Linked DNA regions of Caenorhabditis elegans. The protein of the gene in region 1 purifies or fractionates together with the protein of each later gene. This does not show direct contact. Each region holds a gene or a part of one and is shown on either strand. Other genes may lie near its edges.

Region 1 (4,195 bases):
TTTTTGTATGTAAGATGTTTCACTTGAAAAAAGACACAAAATTGGTTGTTAAGAGAGGTCAGAGACAAAGGAAATTATGCGTTACTACTTTCGGCCCCTATTGTCAAATTGGTGGCAAGAACCGAAACAGTTCTTAATGACTCTCAGTTTTTTTCCTCCCCATCATAGTTTGTTCTTGAATATTCGAGAACGAAAAATGATCCAAAGTAGAAAATTATAAAAGCTTTGGTCAAGATCCGAACATAATTATTTGCCATTGTTATTGTTCTATTCTTCATCTCAAAAAACAGGTGACTACACCAAGGATAGTAACCACAACAATCACGTAGTACTAACAGAGGAATCCAGTTTTTTTATGACGAGAGTATGAAAGGGGAGGTGGGGGTTGACGAGTTGTTAACCCCTTTGCATTGACACTCCAAGGTTTATTTGAATTTGAGGAATAGAAACATTAGAGAATAATGGAACAAAACATTTGAGAAATTCAATGTGGAAATGAGAAAAACAACTTATGACGAATTTCAGGATATCAAAAATTTAATTGTGAAGTGTTCAAGGATTTTAAATACCATCTGGATGGAGAATGGAAACACAGTGATAGATCATTCAATTTTATGAAAAAAACACAGATGACTCAAAAACTTTGAACTACAGTTGCCATGTGTGCCAAATGTTGAATGTATGATACATCATTGAAAGCGGCCAAACTAGACTGGTGGAGCTGGCGTGCGATCTGAAATATTTTCAAAATCATATCTCTAATTAACTCGAATTGTTGTACAGAAGTTGGCTCAAAAAACCCAGAAGTGCACAAAATCATTTTTGTCTATTGCAGTGTATGAGCTCTGAATTTCCAGCGTAAATATATGTTTTTGTAATTTGCATTCGGTCAAGATTTGGTCACTTTATCTTTTTTATCTCAAGATCATTTATATCGTATTTCTCTTTGATTTGATTATACCTTTACAACTAGATAAATAAACAAATATATACATATAGTAAATAGTATTTTGAATTGAAGCTCTATCAATCTGTGATTCAAACTATCTCAACAAAACATAATTGAGAAATAACCAAATTGTTTAATCGAGTTCTTTTTTCTTGTTTCATTCATTAAAACACGTTCCAAGTTTTTAAACTCTTCACAAGCCACCACCAATCCAATAAAAGCAATACTTATTCATCTTTTATGTATCAGAAAAAAAAAGATTATTGATCAGGAAAAGAAAGTGAAATCGGACATTTGGTCATCACAATAAAAAGAGAAAAAGCGATAAGTTCTTTACAATTACTATCCATCATTCCCGATTATTCTCGCTTTTTTCCGGAATTTTTTGTCATTCCGAGTGAATGCTAATGTTGACATTGATTTGGGATAAATATCCATAAGTCATCCATCAATTGTTGCTTCATCTTTCTTTTCTTTCAAACTTTGAAAAATGCATTAAAAAACAGTTGGTAAACAAAACTATAGATATTTATTTTCCAAATCGTTTCTGTGAAATTTTACTGAAATAGATCCATTTGCTTTTCCTTAGGTTTGAAATTTTCACAGTAAACAGCTAATAAAAATTGAGAAGAAGATAAAGCAAATAACAGATTTTGAGAAGTATTGAGTTCTGTTTGTTTGTTATATATTTTCACTACTTTGGAATTTCTGAAAGCAAAACAGTTCCGAAGTATTGGTGGAAATAACAATAACAGGAACGATTTCTCTGGGTATTTATCTGTACTAGTATCCATTTCAGGAAGCTCAAATACTAACTCTAGACATCTCAGATGTTTGTTCAATCACTCTCCCGTCATATTTTCCTTTTCTCTCTCTTCATCTCCACCACGCCCTTCTTCTCAACATCTCTGCGCATCCACAAACTTCCATATTCCGCCTACTCTTTTTCTCTAGCAACTCTCCACTTAATGGATACTGTACAGAAGGTGTATAGATGGGTATAAAAGTGGATGGGTGATAGGTGGCAGTCATCAGTCTCGAAGTTGTAGAATCGAGAGAGATACGAAAATGGCACTTTGGCAGCTCACATTTGCGGCTCTTTTTGCGTTCGTCGCTGCTCAGCCAGGTTTGCTTCTAGTTTCTCATCATAATTTTTTATCTCAGCAGTTTGAAAATAGAACTACTGGATACAATTTTCCAATACCGAATATCAACATTTCCAGGACCGAAAATGGTTGACGAAACGACTCGCTGGAGTCAATGTAAAGACACAAACCAATCTATTTACGATTTCCAGGTAAATTTGAAATTTGAAAGGAGCTTTTGTTATCCATAAATTGGTTTAGGTAGAAACACTACAAGGAGAATACACAGACCTTAGTCAATACCGTGGACAGGTGCTTCTCATGGTCAACGTTGCTACTTTTTGCGGTGAGTTGTCTTATAATATCTCTCTCTCTCTTTTTTTTGTTTAGAAGATTTAGAAGATTATAAGATTCATGAGATCTCATCCCATTTCCGGCTTTTGCAAAAGATGCAACCCAAACCATATCACTTTTCTCCAAAACTTGGCCGAAACAGATAGACTATATCATAACGAACATGTTTTCAGAGAAAAAATTTATTAAAAAATTGTCTCACACCCATTTTTATACTCAGGATTTTTTAGTATATAGATTATCACGATTCTTTTCGATTTTCGAATGTTAAAAAGAGATAGAAACATTTCCCAAAACAATTCTACCGATGGAACATATGGCTGATTGCTTAACACGTTCGACGCCATTCGGTCGTTTATCAATGTCTATTTGAACCTTATAAACAACGATGAAAATTGAAACAATTCTAGCGTACACCCAGCAATACACGGATTTCAACCCCCTTATCGAGAAGTACCAATCCCAAGGATTTACTCTCATTGCCTTCCCATGCAATCAATTCTATTTGCAAGAGCCAGCTGAGAACCATGAACTGATGAATGGAATAATGTATGTTCGTCCTGGAAACGGATGGAAGCCACACCAGAACTTGCACATTTATGGAAAGCTTGACACCAACGGAGACAACCAACACCCAATCTACGAGTTTGTCAAGGTCAGTTTTAGACCATTACCGCCAACTAGTCAGGGGGTCATTTCCTTTATTCGTTTCTTTACACCAAGGTCAAACAACAAAATAATATGTTTCGGGGGTAGGAATTGAACACAACAAAAGAATGGCATTGTGTTCAGTTTACACTGCCAATGGTCTCTTCTACATTCTCGACCATTCGGCAATCATTCATCTTATTTTACATTGCAGGAGTCTTGCCCACAAACTGTTGACAAAATTGGAAAGACTGATGAATTGATGTACAACCCAATTCGTGCTTCTGATATCACATGGAACTTCGAGAAGTTCCTTATTGACAGAAATGGACAACCAAGATTCCGCTTCCACCCAACTGCTTGGAGCCACGGAGATGTTGTCACTCCATTCATTGAGCAACTCCTTGCTGAGCCAGCTAATTAATTGGTTATTAACTAATTGACAATCATTGATTTCATTCCAATGTGTGTGTATACTTTCGTAGTACCGACCCACATGTCAATCAGGGGTTGCTTTGTTCTTGTATAGCGAATATCATAAGATATTGTGCTTCTCCACGTTTTAATTGCCTCCGGGTTTTTCTCCGTTCCTGTATTTACGTTCCGTCGAAATAAAGTAGAATATCACATTAATCATACTTTTCATGGAAAAATTAAAAAAAAAATTGCTCGCACAAATACATTAATCGAAAAGAGTTTACTACTAAATTTGAATTATTCTGCTATTTTTTTCAGTACACAGTGCATATATTGGATAAACTGACACTGGAAGCAAAATTGGATAATCTAGCTTTGTTATACAAACAGAATACTGTTTTAAATTGCATGATTAAAAACGAATGTGTTCAGCAAAAACATTCGAGATAAAAAAGATATCTCTATACCTATTCCTGTTCCTGATATACCTGTCTATCATAACCTTATATTTTTAAAAGCAAATTTTTTAGCCAGAATACGTTAATAGTTTTTAAATCCGCCTGAAGAAATAAACAAATATCACGTCCAGTTTGAATGAATATATAAATGAAAGTTACACTTATTTTTTATGTGTGGTATTATACAAATACAAAAAGGAATTTTTCACCCTTTTGTTCCATAATTTGTTATGTTCACCCTAAGTGATTAGTTCACAGGTATGAGTGGTGAAACTGTTTCGGTT
Region 2 (4,455 bases), on another chromosome or scaffold:
ACCACTTTTCTTCGTCCCTCGTGAGGAAAAAGTTGCAGTGAAATTCAGTGAATAAAAACCAATTTTTGTGAAATTTTTTTGCAAAATTTACGGTTTTTCTGCCAAAAAAAAAATGCTAAACCTATAACATCCAATTCTGTACAACTCCCGAGTGACGTCATCCAACTGATCTCCCGTCAGTGCTCTCCATTTTCTCTCCCTCTCCGGCTCATCGAGCTCCGGATCATCAAGCGTCTGCACATCGATCTTTCTCCGAACTTTCTTCGATATTTTCTCATCATCCTCATCCTCCTCCTCCTCTTCTTCCTCTTCCTTCTGAATTTTCACTTGTGGTGGAACTTCAGCCACCGGGAGGAGCTCTTCCGACTCCTGCTGCTGAATCTCCTTTTTCTGCTCTTCCTTAATTATTGCCAACTGGAGCCGGAGCACACGGCCGTGATGCTCGCGGAGTCGCTTCCGCGCGATAAAAACCTTCAGCTGATCGTCCAAATCCTGCCAGTAACCCTTGTTTCCACTGTTTCCGCGGATTTTTGCGTCCATTTGGTCTTCCAGTTTGAGCAGCTCATCGATTGATTTGTTCTGGAAAAATTCGGGGGAAAATTGAGTTTTTTTTTTCAGAGTTTTCGGCTCAAATTGCGATAAAAAAGACAATTTTCCGCAAAAAATTACTGAAAATAAGTTATAAAAGCCGTTTCAAAATGTTTTTTTTTTGATTTTTCAATGAAATTGACAAAACTGACAAAAATCATGCTCTTAGCTTGAATTTTTTTGGTTTTTTTCCTCGAAATCTGTACTTTTTTTGGATTTTTTGGGTGGGCGGCAAACAAGTTTTCCGGCAACTCGGCAAACCGGCAAAATGCCGGAATTGAAATTTCCGGCAAATTGGTAAAATGCCGGAATTGAAATTTCTGGCAAATTGGTAAAATGCCGGAATTGAAATTTCCGGCAAATTGGTAAAATGCCGGAATTGAAATTTCCGGCAAATTGGTAAAATGCCGGAATCGAAAATTCCGGCAAATTGGTAAAATGCCGGAATTGAAAATTCCGGCAAATTGGTAAATTGGCGGAATTGAAATTTCCGGCAAATTGATGAATTGCCGGAATGGAAACTTCTGGCAAATTGGTACAATGCCGGAATTGAAATTTCTGCCAAATTGGTAAAATGGCGGAATCGAAAATTCCGGCAAATTGGTAAAATGCCGGAATTGAAATTTCCGGCAAATCGGCCAGTTGGCTGAATGGAAAATACCGGCAAATTGATGAAATGCCGGAATTGAAATTTCCCGCAAATCGGCAAGTTGGCGGAATGGAAAATACCGGCAAATTGATGAAATGCCGGAATTGAAACTTCCGGCAAACTGGTAAATTGGCGGAATTGAAATTTCCGGCAAATTGGTTTGCCGAATTTGCCGAAAATGTTCGGCAAATGTGGTTTTGTACTTTTTTCTTTTTTGAAAAGTGAGCAAAATAGGAAATTTTCAGCTCTTTTTTCAAAAACTTGGCTGGAAATCAGTAAAATCGCTTGAATTCCAGATTTTTCCGTTAAAATCAGCAAAAATAATTGTTTTTTTTTTAAATTTAATTTTCATTGTTTTGTCAATTTTTCACAAACGTGACCATTTTTTTCCAAAAAAAAAAACCACGTCCCTTCAGAAATTCTCGACTATTCGAATCAGTTTGAGAAATTGTTTTCACTCAAAACGTTCAACAAGAGGCAAATTCGACGAAAAATGGACACAATGGAGCAGCATCAGGAGCTTGAGCAAGAAGCCATCGGACCGGCTCTTCCACCGCCGTCAGCTGCTCAAAAATCGGAGCTCTTCGAGGAGCACAACGTCGAGTACGAGCTGATCAACGGGATCCCGTGCTACCAGCCGGATCATGTGGTCGACGGGCAAGTTCAGGTAAGGAATGACTCGAAAATCTTGTGAAAAACCCAGGAATTTCCCGCAAAATTCTCAGGTTTTCGTCGTTTTTCAAGCACATTTGCCACGTGGCCGCGAACAATTCGGTGGCCGAGTTTTCTCTTTCCCGGCCACGCAGCGAAGGTTGTGGCTGGGCTTGGGCTTCTTAACTCAGGCTTCCCGTCTTTGTCCGGACTTTTTTTTAGCGAAAAAATCACCAAAAAATGCAGTTTTTGGCACTGTCGATTAGGGGTGGGCGGCGATTGCCGTCCGGCAAATTTTTTTGCCGATTTGCCGGAAATTTTCAATTCCGGCAATTTGCCGATTTGCCGGAAATTTGTGATTTTCGGCAAACTGCCGGTTTAGTGATTTGCCCGAAACTTTCAATTCCGGCAATTTGCCGATTTGCCGGAAAATTTTGATTTTCGACAAACTGCCGGTTTGGTGATTTGCCGGAAATTTTCAATTCCGGAAATTTACCGATCTGCCGGAAAATTTTGATTTTCGACAAACTGCCGGTTTGGTGATTTGCCGGAAATTTTCAATTCCGGAAATTTACCGATCTGCCGGAAAATTGTGATTTTCGGCAAACTGCCGGTTTGGTGATTTGCCGGAAATTTTTCATTCCAGAAATTTGCCGATTTGCCGGAAAATTGTGATTTTCGGCAAATTACCGATTTGCCGGAAATTTTAGCGATTTTCCGCAAAACTGCTAGTCTTTGGAAAAGTGAAAAAAAAACTCAGAAATTCATCGATTTTCCCAATTTTCCAAAAATTAAACCACAATTTCCAGATCTTCGAACGAATCGGCTACGACGACAAGGTCGGCGGAACGTTCCTCGGGCTCAGCGCCGACGGAAAAGAGCTCGTCGTCCGCGTCGCACCGATCGACGCGCTGACTCATGTGGTTCGTGCCGAGGCGGCATTCCTGTGCAAGGTGGAAGCCGAGCTTCAGGACTGGCGGCTCTTCTCGCAAGTTCACAAGATCTTTCTGACCGACGACGCGTGGCACATGTCGCTGTACTTCCGTGGTGGACCGACGTTGGAGCAGTGCTTTGCGATGCGGAACAAGTTCACGCTTGGGACGGCTGGACGCTTGGCCGAGGATGTGCTCAATGTTAGTTGGCTCCTGGAGGTCCTAGCTGGAATCGCTCTGAAGCTTGAACGGGCTGTCTAGGCTTCTGGCGGAGCTTGAGCTCCCGTGTTGGCGCTGGAACGCCTGCCTACCTGCCTGGCTTCATGGCGATCTCAGGCAGGCGCCTGCCTACCATGGAAGCCTCAATTTCAGCTTATTTTGCTTGAAATCTCCAGAATTTCTGTCAATTTCACGGAACTTTGTAGAAATTCTTGATAAACTGCTCATTTTTAGGTGATCCGATGTGCTCACAAGCATGGCTACCTCGTCCGCAACATGGATCTCAACAGCTTCCACTACGATGCGGCAAGCCGTCACCTCTTCATGGCGGACATCTCGTCTTTGGTCAAGAACATTTCTGGTGATGATGGAGCTCCGATTGCTAGCTACGCTGGCTGCTTGGATTATGCTCCGTGCAGTGACGATGGTCTTGTTGGCGCCCGGCAGGATCTCGAGACATGGTTCTACCAGCTGGTTCACCTGGTGCTCGGCGAGCTCCCATGGGGAAGTCTGAGCCGCGAAGAGGCTGGAGTCAAGAAGGCCGAGTTCCAGAAGAGCAAGGAATTCGCGGAGCTTCCAGAGGTGTTCCACAAGATTGCCGAAGTGGTTATCGCCAAGGAATACTCGGTTGTCGAGGAGGAGGAATATGTCAAGTTGGCAGGGCTCACGGAGCAAATCTACAAGGAGCTCGGAGGTGTGACGGATCACGAGGAGAATATGGATTTCGAGCGGGAGCCGACGCCGGATGAGCTTCCACGTTTTGTGGCGTGCCGTGCCGATGAGATTCCGACGATCGCGGAGGAAGAGGAGCCGGCGGTTGAGGAAGAGAACTCGGAATAGGGATTGAAATTTGAATAAAATTTAAATATTGTGCGGAAAATAGGGTCAATTTTTGGGCTTTTTGCCGGAGGATTTTTAAAGTTTCAAGTTAATTTTTCAGCATTTTCAGGCACTCTACCTTGAACATATTCTGAACTTCTGTCTGCACACTCGCATGCACATCACCTCGATTCTGTGCGGCCTTCTTCTGAATCTCGTCTTCGGCGATTCGTGTAACATCCATCCACCAAGTCTCGTTTTTGGCCCATCCGTCGACTTCTCTGTACGTTTTGATGTCCTCGATGAGATCCTCGTAGTCGTCGACTGATTTGCATGAAGCTGGAAGAGAAAATTGGGTTTTCTAGGCCACCACTTTTGAAGTCCTCTCGGACACAATTTTAAAGTTTTATATACTTTTTTTTTAGGATTTTGAAAGTGAAAAAAACGCTTCTTCAACTGGAAAAAGTAACTTTTTGTAAGTAACTTCTCCTCTCGGACAATTCTTGGAATTTTAAATTTTTTTTCCAATTTTTTTCTGAAAAAAGCGTGTAAATTTTCTAAAAATTGATGTGAATTGGACTTTTTCGATTAAAAATC
Region 3 (6,469 bases), on another chromosome or scaffold:
GGCAGGCAGTGTGAGCTTATCAGTGAATTGATAATCAGTGGAGAAAATTGATCAACGATGGGAACTGATAAAATAATATAATGCACCGTCCGTTTAAAGTCAAAAATTGCAAATTTTTTCATAGAGCACACACACAAATACTTCTAGAAAATGAGGAGGGAAAAAGTACATTCTAACGAAGGAATACACGAGGATTCGGGGGGAAAATCGATAAATCGATAATTTTTATGGGGAATTTATTTATTATTGATGAGTCGATTGGCCACTGTGTTCACGCTTGATGGGACGTTCTCGATTGTGGTGAATACCTGAAAAAAATTGAGTTTGAAATTGTTGGAAATGCGCTCCACTGCACTAGCTTGGGTCTCGCAGCGAAATCGCGTAAATTTGAAATTCCGGTGAAAAAAAACGGCAATTTCAGGTATTTTCTATGCTTTTTGAGTGGGAACTTGGAGAAAAGTGCGATAGAGCGCGTTTGCATTATTTTCGGATAATGTTTGAATTTCCTACAATATTTCTGGTCTCGCAGCGAAATCGTCGGAATTTTGCTAATGTCTGTAATTTTCTACGCGAAATTTTGAAAAAAAAGTGCCATGGAGTGTGCTTGCATTTTTTTTAAAAACAATTTCAGAATTTTCTCTGAATTTTGGACTAAAAATTGCGTTTTGCATTATCTTTCCTACAAAACCAGAAGTTTAAGACTTTTCGAGTCAGAAATTGGAAAAAAGTGCGATGGAGCGTACTTGCATTTGGTTAATTTTTGACGTGGAATTTTTTTTGAATTTCGCTTTTTGTGAAAAAAAGTGTTTTGCATTATTTTCAGCAATTTTCTCCAAAATTTGTGTCTTTTTGTCATATTTTTCCTAGTTTTAGGCACTTTTTTCGACGTTTAGCTCTGAAATTTGACTAAAAATGACTGAAAATTTATATTTTTCAATTTTTCAGATAGATTTTTGAAATTATGGAATTTCTTGAACGTTCGGCGCCAAATCTCCATTTTCCAGGACTTTTTTCCAACTTTCGCAGCAATTTTTCCGTGTTTCCTCTCAAAAATGCAGCCTACCGAGTCAACAGCACTGTTCCACTTTCCACCGGCCTTCAGCTGCACATCTTCGACTGTTGGGAGCTGAAAATAAGAAAAAAATTGCATTTTCAGAGAAAAAATCGATAAAACCTGCTCTGGAAAGACGACGGTGCCGGGAAGAATGTACTTTTTAAGCTTTTGATACAGTTCGCTGCCCTGAAAATGAAAATTTTCGTGGAAAAACGGGGGAAAACTAATACTTTAACATTGTTAGTCGACCAAATATCGTTATCGATTGACAGTTTGACGGCGCCGGCGACGAGTCCAACTTTAATTCCGAGTTTTGCAGTTTTCCACAAGAATCCCATGTTGCCGACCTGAAAATTCGAATATTTTGTGTGAAAAATCAGTTATTTTGCAACAAGACGTGAAAAATAAATAAAAAATCACAAATTCAAGAAGAAAAGTTCAGAAAAACTGAAAAAAAATCGGAAAAATAAAATGAACGTCGCGCGCACGAGAAATGCGCAAGCAAATCGAGACTCGCGTCAGAGCACGAGAAACGCGCCAGCCTCGTCTGCGTTTCTCTTCTCACAATGCTCTCTCTCACTGAAATAAGCTTATAAGCTTAAAAGTCTGCAAATCTTTAATTTGGCGAGGGATAATCGAAAATTTAAGCTCACAGATGCCTAGAAAATTAAATTTTAAGTAGATTATATTAAAATTTCATAAAAATAATGATAATTAACGGTATTTATTAAAGTTTTAGATTTCATCAAATTTTCAGACTATACTATAGTCTTGCAATTTTCAAAGAATTTTTCCTGCAAAAAACAAGTACAAAGCATTGATCAAATTAACACTATCAAGTTGACAGTGTCAACGTTTAATCCCCCAGCAGTATTTCCCTTAAATTGATCACTGCACTTTTCGTTATCACCACGAGCATCATAAATTTTTTTACTTATTTAAAATTCCGGTTTCTGATGCACCATGGTCAACTCGCCGGTTCCTGTCCGATTTCTGGTACTTTTTGAACTCAAAACCCCCGGAAAATTGAATTTTCACGATTTTTTTGCAGATTTTAATATGTGCCACACTGTGTTTGACCTCGATTCTTTCAAATATGAATACTTATAATTTTACAAAAATTTGTATGCAAGATGATAATAGTACTTCAACTTCAAAAGGTTTTTTTTTTAATTCGGTGGCCGAGTTTTTCCATTGGCGGCCGCCAAAATAGTTGATTTTTTCAGTGAACTATACCAAATCAGAGTCGAATTTTCTTCAATCGTGTGTGGCTATTGGAAGTCTTGCCGCCTCGATTCCATTTTCCATTTCTTTTCAACATTTGCCGCATAAACCTGTCTTCATTGTCGCCGGAATTATTTCGGGAGGTATGACGTCAATCGTGGCCGCGAAAAAAAAAAATATCGGTGGCCGAGTTTTCTGTAGTTTTTATTTGTTTCGAGAAAACTGACTAATTTCTATAGACTAATTTTATAAAAACTGTGCATTTTGTCGTCAGATCCAGTGCATGCGTATTTTCAAAGCTACAGTACCCCAAAAAGCATGCATCGAAAGCATACAAAATTTTTGAAATTGATCGTCAAATATGGTGTATTGCACAGTGGGCGTTGAATTTGACGCGCAAAACAATAATCTGATTTTTCGAAACAAAAACATGGTGCATGAAGCACAAAAAATTGTGAAAAATTCCGCGTAAGCACGTGGTGTCAGGCTGTCCCATCACGGTTTGATCTACAAAAAATGCGGGAATTATTTGCCCGAAAATATGTGACGTCAGCACGTTCTTAACCATACGAAATCAGTTGAGAACTCTGCGTCTCTTCTCCCGCATTTTTTGTAGATCTACGTAGATCAAGCCTAAATGAGACACTCTGATACCACGTGCGTAAAATACTGAATTAAGTATTTAAGAATCATATTTTACGCGCAAAATAAAACAGATTTCACGAATTTTTCTGAAATTAAAAAAAAATTATCGATTTTTCAAAAATTATTGACATTTATTGTCCGAGAGGAGTACACCAAGCATCATTAGAGCGCGTTTCCATTTTTTAAATTTTAAAATTGCGCGTCAAATATGATGTATTGCACTCAATTTTTCCAGTTTCAACAGCCCTTATCCCGTTGGCAAGTACCATTGGCTACGGATGGTTTGTGGCCGCCCGTATTTGTCAAGGAATGGCATTTTCAGCCACATTTCCCCTCGCTGGCTCAATTACAGCAAATTGGGCGACCCCATACGAGCACGGAGTATTCATTGGCCTATTAACCGGAAATACACAACTTTCAAATATATTTACAATGCCAGTTTCGGGATGGTTATGCTCTTCGTCTGGTGGATGGACGTCGGTTTACTATGTGCACGCCGGTGTATCGTTGGTCACTTTTTCGCTGTTTTTCCTATTTTTCAAGTGCTCGCCGAGTGAGCACAGTTGGGTTGGCGAGAAGGAATTGGAGAGGATTCGAGAAGGGAAATCGGGAAAGAAAGTGAGTGCAAACGCGCTCTACCGGACACAAATTATAACTAGATTTTGGAGCGGAAAAAAACCTGAAATTGTACCACGTATCATTTTTGAGAAAAACGCGCCCGAAGGACTACGGAAAGCCCAAGCCTAAGCGCACGTGGTGCCTGGCTGTGCTATTACGGTTTGATCTACCAAAAATGCGGGAATTTTTGCCCCAAAAAATGTGACGTCAGCACACTCTTAACCATGCGAAATCAGTAGAAAACTCTGCGGCTCTTCCCCCGCATTTTTTGTAGATCTACGTAGATCAAGCCGAAATGAGGCACTCTGACACCACGTGTAAGCCTAAGCCTAAGCCTAGGCCTACGCCTAAGCCTATGCCTTAGCCTATGCCTAAACCTAGGACTGAATTAGTGGGTTCCTCGGGGTACGCAATTTGTCGACAATTAAGACGTTCCCTCATTAGTATGAGAAAATCCCAAATTTTTCTAAAACTGCTAGCAAGGTAAATGGGTTTCATGTACGCAAATTTGCTTCAACTTCAAGATTTTTTACATGAGAGTAACCGAGTTTTCAAAACCTCGGCCACCACATCGCATTGCATGGCCTAACTTTTCACGGGCTTCGAATTTCCCCCATGTTTTCAAATGGAAGAGGTGGCCGTGAAAAAAGCGAACCTCGACCGGGGGTCGCGACCTGCGACAAACAGGAAAACTCAAAAAAAGTAGCGACAGTACGAAATTTCTTTGAGTTTTCCCGTTTGTCGCGAGTCGCGACCCCCGGTCGAGGTTAGCTTTATTCACGGCCACCTCTTCCATTTGAAAACATGGGGGGGGAAATTCGAAGCCCGTTACTTTTTCGTTTTGCAGGTATCCCGGCCAAAAAATCTTCCATTCCGTCATATTCTGACAAGTTTAAGCCTGTGGGCTTGTTGGATCGCATCGTTTGGAGATTTGATAACAGTTCAATTGGTATCCCAATTCAATCCGCAATATATGAAAAATTATTTGAACTATGACGTACTTTCGTCCGGTTTTTTGGCCGCCTTACCCATTATTTTTCAATTTTTTACGAAATTATCGTCGGGAATTATTAGTGATTATATTAAGTGAGTTTTTCGGGGGTTTTTCCTGGAAAAATAATTTTATAATTGTGAAAAAAATCAGTGGCCGAGTTTTTCCTCTCTACGGCCACCAAAAATCAATATTCCAGATTCATCTCAGAAACTCTGAAAACTAAAATTTTCAACACAATCGCTCTGGCCGTGGCCGCCGTTTTTTTCATCGTTCTAGCATTTATTCCACAGGAAAAACACTTGCTGGCTATTATTATAATGGTGAGTGGGTGGTGGTGGTGGCCTAGATAGGAAAACTCTTCCAGTGGGACAAGTGCGCTCAATTGATAATCCACGTTGAAAATAACCGATTATCAACATAGCGCACATACATCCATGGCCTAGTTTTCCTATTCTCTTCCATCATTCCAGATTTGCGCCGAAAGTGTGATGGGGTGCAATACGGCGGGATTCAACAAGTGTGCCACGTTGCACTCCCAGCAGTACGCCTATTTCGCAATGCAGCAGGTAAGGGGGTGGCCGAGAAAATTTTTAGGCCAACGATTTCTCTTCCAGATCATGAACATCTGGGCTTGCACGATATTCATCGAACCGTTTTTCGTCAATATGATTGTTACTGATGATACGTGAGTTTTTAGGGTATTCATGTAGGCACGCAGGCATGAGGAATGCAGGCAGGCATAGGTAAACTTAAAGGCAGGCATGTAGGTATATACGGTCTAGAAAAAAAAACACGGTAAGCGTAGGTCACTTTGGAGGCAGGCAGGAAGGCATAGGCATAGATAACCTATGTGAGCTGGACCGGCGTAGATTCCCTAAAAGACTATCGAAAAGGCAGATAGCATTAAAAGCAGGTAGATAGGCACAGGGTACATTGGGGTAGACGTAGATAGCATGTAGGCTGACCTAGGCCACCTTGAAAGCAGGCAGTTGACCTACATAGTTTGTAAGGTAGGCATAGGCCTAGAAGGCACTGACAAAAATGCAGGCAAACCAGCATAGGTCTCACTTGAAGGTAGTCAAGTAGGTAGGCAAAGGTCCCCTGCAAGGCAGACGTAGGCAGGCAGGCGTAGGTCCCCTAAAAGACAAGATTATTTTTTTCAGATTCACAGACTGGCGTAATTGTTTCCTGGCGCATGCGGGCTTACTTCTCTTCGTAAATACTATATTCTGCCTGTTTGCCGACGCCTCGCCAGCAAAATGGACCAGATTACAAGATGATGACGTGGCAATTGAGGAGGAAAAAGAAGAATATTCTGGAAGTATTGAAGATATTATTAAGTTGTAAAAGTTGTACACTACTGTATAAATTGTAAAAGTGTTCCGAAGATTTTCGGCGCCCCAATAAAATTGAATGGCTTCTAGCTGAAGCTTACCTCCTCCCTATGAAATTTATGAAAAAAAATTTGCGGACATTTTTCTATTATTATTATTACGTAAATGCCCCAATTTCTACCACAAATTCTTATAGTTTTGCAGTTTTTTGTAAAAAATTCGGAATTTTGTATTGGTGGGAGCAAGTGTCAGAGCTCCATGTGCTATTCGTGAGTTTTTTTAAAATCTTGTCTAGAAAATACTGTAATTAACATAGAAATAGGGCATTTGAAACATGGCCTAGGAAAAACTATTGGTGGCCGAGTTTTTTTCCGTAGCTGTGAAAAGTGAAAAACGAAAAACCTCGGCCACCATTCAACTTTTTGGAGCATTTTTACAATTTGGAAAATTTAAATTTTGGTGGAATTTTCTAGGCCACGCAGTAGAATTCTAGGCCACTTGACGAATTCTGGATTAAAAATTGATTATAATTTTGATTTTGCAAAAATTGAGAAAAAAAAACCAGAAAAATAATTTTTAATTTTAAAATTTACTATCAAT
Region 4 (8,000 bases), on another chromosome or scaffold:
CCGGCAAACCGGAACATTGCCGGAATTGAAAAATTCCCGCAAACAGAAAAATTGCCGATTTGCCGGAATGGAAAATTTCCGGCAAATCGGTAATTTGCCGGAATTGAAAATTTCCGGCAAATCGGTTTTTTTTTTAAATTTTTCAGGGAATTTATTTTTTTCAGGGGAAAATTTTGCTAAAAATCCGCTATTTTGCCAATTTCCATCTAAAAATTCCAATTTTCAAGTAAAAAAGCGGGGGAAAAAACGAGAAGAATTAAAAATCAAAATTATCATTAACAAATTCCGAGTTCTCCTGAACATTAAAACCCGTAAAAACATCATCATCATCATTCTCAGGCTCCGCTTCATCACCCGAATGCTCTTGGGGCTCAAAATCGAGGTGTTGCTCCATAATCGGAGCTTCTTCCAATCCGAGAAGCATCGCCTCCAGTGGATCAGCCGGATCCAGTGGTGCCGCCTGATGATTCTGAGCATCAATTCTCTCGTAGAGATCGTCAAATTCAAAGCCCCAATGAGCATCTGGCTCCTGGTGCTCCTGGTACTCCGGCTCTTCGTCATAATTTCCCACATGGAATTGCACAGGCTCCGGCTCCTGCTGGAATTGAGAAGCTGGAGCTGGAGCCGGAGATGGTGTACTCGTCAAGGATCTTGCCGTTTCCTCGTCACGTCGAAGCTTCTTGTTCAGAATTCTCGCAGAAACCGATTGATGAATCGTCTGCTTACGGGTTTCCGCTTTCAGTTTCTCCGAGATTTTACGATCCTCTTCGATTTTTCGACGCTTCGCCAGGCTTGCCAGGCTGAAGTTGCGCTGAAAAATGAGGAAATTAGCGTCTTTTTTTTATTTATTTTATTAATCAAAAAAATATTATTTACGCGCAGCAAAATTTGGACCGAAATGAAAATAAAAAAGAAAAATTCAAGTTGTTCTGTGTAAAAAATCGGAAAAAATCAAATTTTTGTGGAAAAAAAAATTGGAAAATTCGACTTTTTTTGACTAAAAGATCGGAAAAATTCAAATATTTTGTAGGAAAATTGGCAATTTTGTAAAAAAAATCGAAAACTGCGTAATTTTAGGAAAAATCGGCATTTTTTGTATTTTTCAGCGAATTTCGAGAAAAATGTCTGAAAACAGAAACCCATAAATTTCGGAAATTAAATTTAAAATTTGATTTTTTTGAAATTGCTTTAAAGCATGCTTATGATACCACAATAACCGAATATATCATAATAAAAAAATTCAAAAAAAATTTTTTTTTCTAAATTTTATATGATTTTTGAAAATTGAAAAAATCTCAGTTTTCCCCCTAATTCCTATTTGAATTTCCGCCAATTGAACTCGTTCGTTGGAGCGCGCTTGCATTGTTTTCATTAATTTTTTAAAATTTATTTTCATTATTTCACTGATTTTCTTCATTTTTTGGGTGTTTTTAATCGGAAAATGAAAGAAACATACAGGAAAAATGCAAAATGTTTATTAAAAAGTAACTGAAAATGCCTAAAACTGTGAATAATACTTATTTCAGGCTCGTCATCGTCGGATCGTATAATTTCAGAGTTTTAGGCATTTTCAGTTACTTTTTAATAAACATTTTGCATTTTTCCCGTATGTTTCTTTCATTTTCCGATTAAAAACGCCCAAAAAATGAAGAAAATCAGTGAAATAATGAAAATAAATTTTTAAAAAATTAATGAAAATAATGCAAGCACACTCCATCGAACAAATTCAATTAGCGGAAATTCGAATCGGAATTAGGGGGAAAACTGTGATTTTTTCAATTTTCAAATATCATAAAAAATTTAGAAAATTTTTTTGCATTTGTTTTACCATGCTATTCGGTCATTATGACCCCATAGGCGCGTTTTAAAGCAATTTTTTCGAGAAAAAAAATTATTTTTTCATGTAGATTCTGCGAATTTTTGAATTTTGGCTAATTTGTGTAAAGTTTTGCAAAATCGTCGCAGGAAAATCAAATTTTTGGGTTTTTATCGAATTTTTTTGTTTTTTTATGCCAAATTTTTTAAAATTTTGCAAAATCTTCGCAGGATAATCAAATTTCTAGGTTTTTCTTCGTTTTTTCGGCCAAATTTTTCAAAAATTTCCATGATTTTCGTCATTTTTCCTCTTCTTCAATCCGTACCATAACATTGCCAACTTTCTCTCCGACAGCTTTCTTAATTTGTTGCAAATCAATTCCAACACTTTTCAGCAACTCATCCGCATTTCCACTTCTCGCCACCATTTTCTCTTCTACAGTGAAATTAATCATTCGACGTCGGGCAGTTTTCCAATCTTCACGAGTTATTGATTGTAGACAATTTTCAATGTCTTCTATCCGATAGGGAAGTCTAAAATTATCGATTTTTTGCCATTTGTTGAGCATTTCCAACCGTAAAGCCGCTCTTGAACGCTTATAGGTCATCGGAGTACGCTGGAAGTAGTGAGCATCGAAAAACTCCTGCATACGACGGAATAATTCGGATTCCTGAAAAAAAAAATCGATTTTTGGGAGATGTTAATGAAAATTTTTGCGTTTTTTTCGCAGTATTGAGCAAAAATTCGAAGGATTTCACCCAGAAAACCCAGAAAATCGCGATTTTTTTTTCTTCCAATTTTTTGATTATCGAAATTTCCGTTTAAAAATTCGAGAAAATTCGAATTATCGATTAAAAATCCAGGAAAAGTGTAATTTTCACTAAAAATTCGGGAAAATTCAAATTTCCAGTAAAAAAATCGGGAAAATTCAAATTTTCGCTCAAAAATACGGGAAACTTTGAAGAAATTCAAATTTTCATTCCAAAATTCGGCAAAACTGAAATTTTCACTAAAAAATTCGGGAAATTTCAAATTTTTGCTAAAAAAACTCGGAAAAACTCAAATTTTCACTAAAAAATTCGGGAAAATTCAAATTTTCTTTAAAAAGTTCGGGAAAAGTCAAATTTTTGCTAAAAAATCGGGAAAACGCAGATTTCCGTTGAAAACTTCGAGAAAATTCGAATTTTCAACTAAAAATCCAGGAAAATTCAAATTTTCACTAAAAAATTCGGGAAAATTCAGTCTTTTGGTAAACATTTCGAGAAAATTCAAATTTCCGTTGAAAACTTCGAGAAAATTCAAATTTCCGCTTAAAAATTCGAAAAAAACTCAACTTTTCGCTTAAAAACTCGGGTAAATTCAAATTTTCGTTAAAAAGTTCGGGAAAATTCAGATTTCCGTTGAAAACTTCGAGAAAATTCAAATTATCGATGAAAAATCCAGGAAAATTCAAGTTTTCACTAAAAAATTCGGGAAAATTCAAATTATCGATTAAAAATTTCGGAAAATTTAAATTTTCGCTTAAAAATCGGAAAAATTCAATTTTTCGCTTAAAAATTCGGGAAAATTCAGATTTCCTTTTAAAAATTCGAGAAAAATCAAATTTAGATTTAAAAATTCGGGAAAATTCAAATTTTCGTTAAAAAGTTCGGGAAAATTCAAATTTCCGTTTAAAACTTTGGGAAAGTTTAAATTTCAACTAAAAAGTCGGGAAAATTCAAATTTTCGCTAAAAAATTCGGAAATAATCAAATTTCCGTTTAAAAATCCAGGAAAATTCAAATTTCCGCTTAAAAATTCGGGAAAACTCAAATTTTTTTCAGCTCAAAAGTTCCAAATTTTCACCTCCATATTTATAATAGTATTCGACGCTTTCGAGTCGGCCGCAACTTTTTCTATCAACGAAGCCCACGATTTTCCAGAATCATTAAGCCGTCGCTTAATAGTCCTACACGGCCTGACGGCCTCTTCTTCTTCAATTTCCACATCATCAATACTCTGATTTTCAAGCTCAGCTTCTGCCGAGCAAGACGTTGAAGGGGTATTTGTATTATTAACAGTTTCGGAATGAAGACTTTCAGCTTTTAGCCTATTCTGACCACTGGATTTCTCAGAAATCGTAGTCGTCGTCGTCGTCGTCCCGTCCAACGAGTTTCTGGCGGCTCGATTTTCAGAATTTTCAGAATTTCCAGCCACTGATGAGCAACGGGAGACCGGTCGAGAGTTGGCGAACGTCAGGGGATACAGATATTGATATTTCTCGGGAAGCTTCTCAATGCGTGGCAGGGGAATGCATTTTTGACGCTTTTGGAAGGCAGTTTGGACGACATGATAGACGTGTGGAGGCATATCCATTGGGAATTGACATTTCTGCAAATAAAAAATAAATAAAAAATGATTAAAATCGGCAGTTTTAGTTTTTAAAAAAGTCGTAATTATGCACGCTCTCCTCAAAGCCGAATAATTATTAGAGCGCGCTTGCTGCGCTTCGCATTTCTGAATCCGCGGTATTTTGACTTTCCACTGAAAAAGCAGATATTTCAGATTTATCGAATTTTCTAGCTTTAAAAAAAATTTTTCTCCAGTTTTCGAACAAACCTTTTGTTAAACAGTGAAAATCGAATTTAAAATGACTAAAATGAACTTTTTTCGTCCACTGGCTGTGAAATGGTTTGAATTTGAAAAAATTAACGGGATTTTTCTTATTTTCTAAATATTTTTCTATTAAAATCGGTTTTAAAACATTTGTGACTTTTAGGGTCAAAAAAATGGGTTAAAACCGATTTTTAATAGAAAAATATTTAGAAAATAAGAAAAATCCCATTGATTTCTTCAAATTCAAACCATTTCACAACCAGTGGACGAAAAATTTCATTTTAGTCATTTTTCGATTTTCACTGTTTAACAAAAGGTTTGTTCGAAAGATGCATTTAAAAAATTTTAAAAGCTAAAAATTCGATAAATCTGAAATATCTGCTTTTTTCAGTGGAAAGTCAAATTACCGCGGATGCAGAAATGCGAAGCGCAGCAAGCGCGCTCTAATAATTCTCCGGCTTTGAGGAGAGCGTGATTATGAAATATTACTGAAAATTAATGTTTTTTAAAATCAATTTCCGGTGAACTTCCGATGATTTCGACGATTTTTCCGCCTCAAAATTACTCGATTTTCACAAAATTAACTAAAAATTGTCCGTTTTGTTGAATTTCAAGTTCAAAATTTGAAAATTCTGAGGAGACATTGCTTTAAAACATACCTATGGTACCACAATGACCAAATATCATAGTAAAATTTTTTTTAATGTTCTAAATTAAAAAAAAAATTTACTATGATATTTGGTCATTGTGGTACCATAGGCATGTTTTAAAGCAATTTCCCCACAGAATTTTCAAGTTTTGAACTTGAAATTCAATAAAACCGGAATTTTTTAGTTAATTTTGTGAAAATCCAGTGATTGAGGGGAGAAATCGTCGAAAACATCGGAAATTCACCGAAAATTGATATAAAAAACAATAATTTTCAGTTAAATTGCTATGAAAAGCTGATTTTCTCCGTTCATACGAGCCAAAACAACCTGAAATTCGATTTTTAGCTCGATTTTTGCCTGGTTTCCCAATATAAATTCAGTTTTTCATGAATTTCTACCTGAACAGCCTCACATATCCACCAAATATTATCGGATCCATTGGGTTCGGTGCTGATGAGCTCTGGCTTGAGCTGTTTCGTCTTACATCGCGGACACTTGAGCCATTCGCTTTTCATCTGAAATTAAATGAGTTTTTTGATGGAAAATTCGAAATTTTAAGGCTAGAAACGAGCACAAAATGAGCACACAAACGCTCAAACTTTGAAACTAACTGTTTTTTTTTCAATTTTCGGAAAATCGATGGGGGGACAGAAGACTGATGGATTTCGTGCGACGTCTCTCTCTCTCTTGCTCTTCTTTATCTTCTTTTGGTCTTTTCACTATGAAATTAGGTATAGTTTTTGAATGGTATCATTTGAAATGTGCGATCACATATCGGGCGGCAGAAAACCGCCTAATTCTCCTTTTCCAGTGCGGGTGGAAAGATCATCGCAAGGCGGTTTAGCCTTAGTGTGATCGCATATCATTACAAATTATCACTTACCACTCGGAGAGCAAAAGTTAATCAGTTTTTAAATCAAAAAAAAAATCAACTTACTAAGGCGGGAAGTGGTCCGGGTGGCATTATCCTTTTGAAAATTGTCTGAAAATTGCGATTGTTGCAGTGAAAGTGGCACAAAAATACGTAGAATTCGAAATTTGAGTTGAAAAATCGAAAAAATCACCGGAAAAGCTCGAAAAATCGATGAAAACGCGATAAATTGACTTAAAAATGTCTTCTTTTTTTCGAAAATGCTTCCCCGTAAATCGAATCGTGGTGAGACCCACCGCACGTGACGCATGACCGCGACGCGTCTAACGGTGAGGAAACCCAAGAAATTTCTCGATTTTTGCTGAAAAAGCCTGTTTTCGAGCGAAATAACTCAGATTTTCGGCGAAAAAAAAAACACAAATTTATTCGAGATCCAAACGTATCAAACAAGAAATTTGCTCAAAATAGCTCAAAAAAGGGAAAAATATTTGGAAAATAAATCGAAATCAAAAAAAAGTTATTTCGTCGATGTGGAGATGTAGAGCACATTGTTCCCGCGGATGAACGCATCGCCGTACTTGTTCTGAAGTTGTCCGTTGCTGTATTCTTCGGTTTGTTCGAGCGCGATGTTCATATATCTGAAAAATTAGATTTTTTCGTAATTTTTCTGGAAGAAAAATTAATTTTCAGGTGTTTTTAATCAGATTTTTTGATTTTTCCCAATCACTAACCCGTCGAGACATGCGAGAATGCCACGGTAGTCGACGCCAGAGTTGAGCTTCACCACAACCGGCTTTCCGATGACTTTCTTCAGGAATTCGGCGGGATTCTGTCGTTTGCTCATTTTCTAGAGTGCTGAAATTGAGAAAAAATATTACTTTCACGGGTTTTTAGAGTAAAAATATGTTAAAATCAAGAGAAAAATGCGTTAAAATTGCGATTTTGCTTCAAAAAAAATTATTTTCTACAGTGTCCGCAAACACCGTGACGCAAAAATGCAGACTTGCGAAAAAAATGTTTTTTTCGGATTAAATCGACTTATTTTTTGAGAATTCAACTCTAAATCTGCAATTTTCCGAGACAATTTAGAAAAAAGAAGGCTTCATTTATAGAAAACAAAAATAGTTGAAAGTGCACTGTGATCAGCCTGTGTGTGTGTGTAATTGGACAAAAAAAACTGTTTCCAGACGAAAAAATATTGAGTATAACACAAATATGAATTGATAGCTGCTTGGGAAGGGCAAAAGTGTACATATAAATGCATTGAGAAAAGGACTAGTTGAGTCGGATTTTGAAGATTTTTTGTTTGAAAGAAGCGCCAAGATTTCGTGGTATATTTGATATGAATTTGAATTTTTCTAGGTTGGAAAATTGAGAAAATTGAGAAAAAAAATGGGGAAAAAATTATAGAAAATTAAAAAAAATTGACTAATTTTCTCCTTGTCCCGAATCCTCGTCATCATCATTATAGTCCGAGCCGCATTCGTCCTCGTCCTCCTCCTCTTCATCGTCGTCATAGTCACACCCGAAATCGTCGTCTGAAAAAAATCGATATTTAATTGAAAATTTGGCAAAAATCCGGGTTTTTAACTGAAAAATCCAATTTTCTCGGGAATTTTACAACTAAATTTGCGAAAAATAGACTTTTTTTTGAGGTTTTTGAGGTCACGGGGTTCTGACCTTCCTCATTGAATTTTTCGCGCTCCATTGACAATCGCCCGCCGGAAAACGTGTGGGAAAGTCGTGTACTCCACACGGACAAATACATTTAGTTTTACAACTAAAATCGAGCCGCGGCGCGACACGCAACGCGCCGTAAATCTACCCCAGATATGGTGGCCTGGACTAGTTCGGCAAAAACTCTTCCATTTCAATTTATAAGGGAAGCCAGAAATCCGTGAATTCGTGCGATTTCTGGCAATTTACCTGAAAAATCGGCAATTTTTTTTGAAAAAAGTGTATAATTTTGCGGATATTTCGACTAAAAACTGACAATTTTTGAATTTTACCAAAAATAGCCAGTTTTAGTGCAAAAAACGCAAAATATAAGACATTTTTAGCGTAGAAGA

Evidence for each region.
Region 2: the proteins of gpx-5 (region 1) and K09E4.1 fractionate together in Caenorhabditis elegans (co-fractionation; one large-scale study listed by BioGRID). This does not show direct contact.
Region 3: the proteins of gpx-5 (region 1) and W04C9.6 fractionate together in Caenorhabditis elegans (co-fractionation; one large-scale study listed by BioGRID). This does not show direct contact.
Region 4: the proteins of gpx-5 (region 1) and Y71G12B.13 fractionate together in Caenorhabditis elegans (co-fractionation; one large-scale study listed by BioGRID). This does not show direct contact.

The regions. Positions count from the first base shown.
Region 1 is NC_003284.9:9,582,678-9,586,872, forward strand, and holds gpx-5 (Glutathione peroxidase), read left to right. Parts: upstream 1-1,990; 5' UTR 1,991-2,017; coding exon 2,018-2,075; intron 2,076-2,172; coding exon 2,173-2,246; intron 2,247-2,295; coding exon 2,296-2,380; intron 2,381-2,798; coding exon 2,799-3,043; intron 3,044-3,250; coding exon 3,251-3,460; 3' UTR 3,461-3,667; downstream 3,668-4,195.
Region 2 is NC_003280.10:14,136,156-14,140,610, forward strand, and holds K09E4.1 (Protein kinase domain-containing protein), read left to right. Parts: upstream 1-1,682; 5' UTR 1,683-1,730; coding exon 1,731-1,904; intron 1,905-2,697; coding exon 2,698-3,021; intron 3,022-3,273; coding exon 3,274-3,879; 3' UTR 3,880-3,915; downstream 3,916-4,455. Other genes in the region: cacn-1 (Splicing factor Cactin), read right to left, coding at 122-579, 3,998-4,197.
Region 3 is NC_003279.8:483,539-490,007, reverse strand, and holds W04C9.6 (MFS domain-containing protein), read left to right. Parts: upstream 1-1,615; 5' UTR 1,616-2,017; coding exon 2,018-2,050; intron 2,051-2,105; coding exon 2,106-2,214; intron 2,215-2,280; coding exon 2,281-2,421; intron 2,422-3,158; coding exon 3,159-3,541; intron 3,542-4,388; coding exon 4,389-4,627; intron 4,628-4,731; coding exon 4,732-4,855; intron 4,856-5,005; coding exon 5,006-5,101; intron 5,102-5,149; coding exon 5,150-5,220; intron 5,221-5,698; coding exon 5,699-5,882; 3' UTR 5,883-5,969; downstream 5,970-6,469. Other genes in the region: W04C9.2 (MICOS complex subunit MIC13), read right to left, coding at 237-308, 1,064-1,126, 1,175-1,240, 1,285-1,392; W04C9.9 (Zinc finger protein), read left to right, coding at 6,128-6,138.
Region 4 is NC_003279.8:1,700,147-1,708,146, reverse strand, and holds the start of Y71G12B.13 (RING-type domain-containing protein), read right to left. Parts: upstream 6,043-8,000; 5' UTR 6,025-6,042; coding exon 5,998-6,024; intron 5,576-5,997; coding exon 5,459-5,575; intron 4,186-5,458; coding exon 3,661-4,185; intron 2,487-3,660; coding exon 2,392-2,486; intron 2,350-2,391; coding exon 2,142-2,349; intron 812-2,141; coding exon 257-811; 3' UTR 1-256. Other genes in the region: lsm-6 (U6 snRNA-associated Sm-like protein LSm6), read right to left, coding at 6,449-6,569, 6,663-6,775; ubc-3 (UBC core domain-containing protein), read right to left, coding at 7,360-7,469.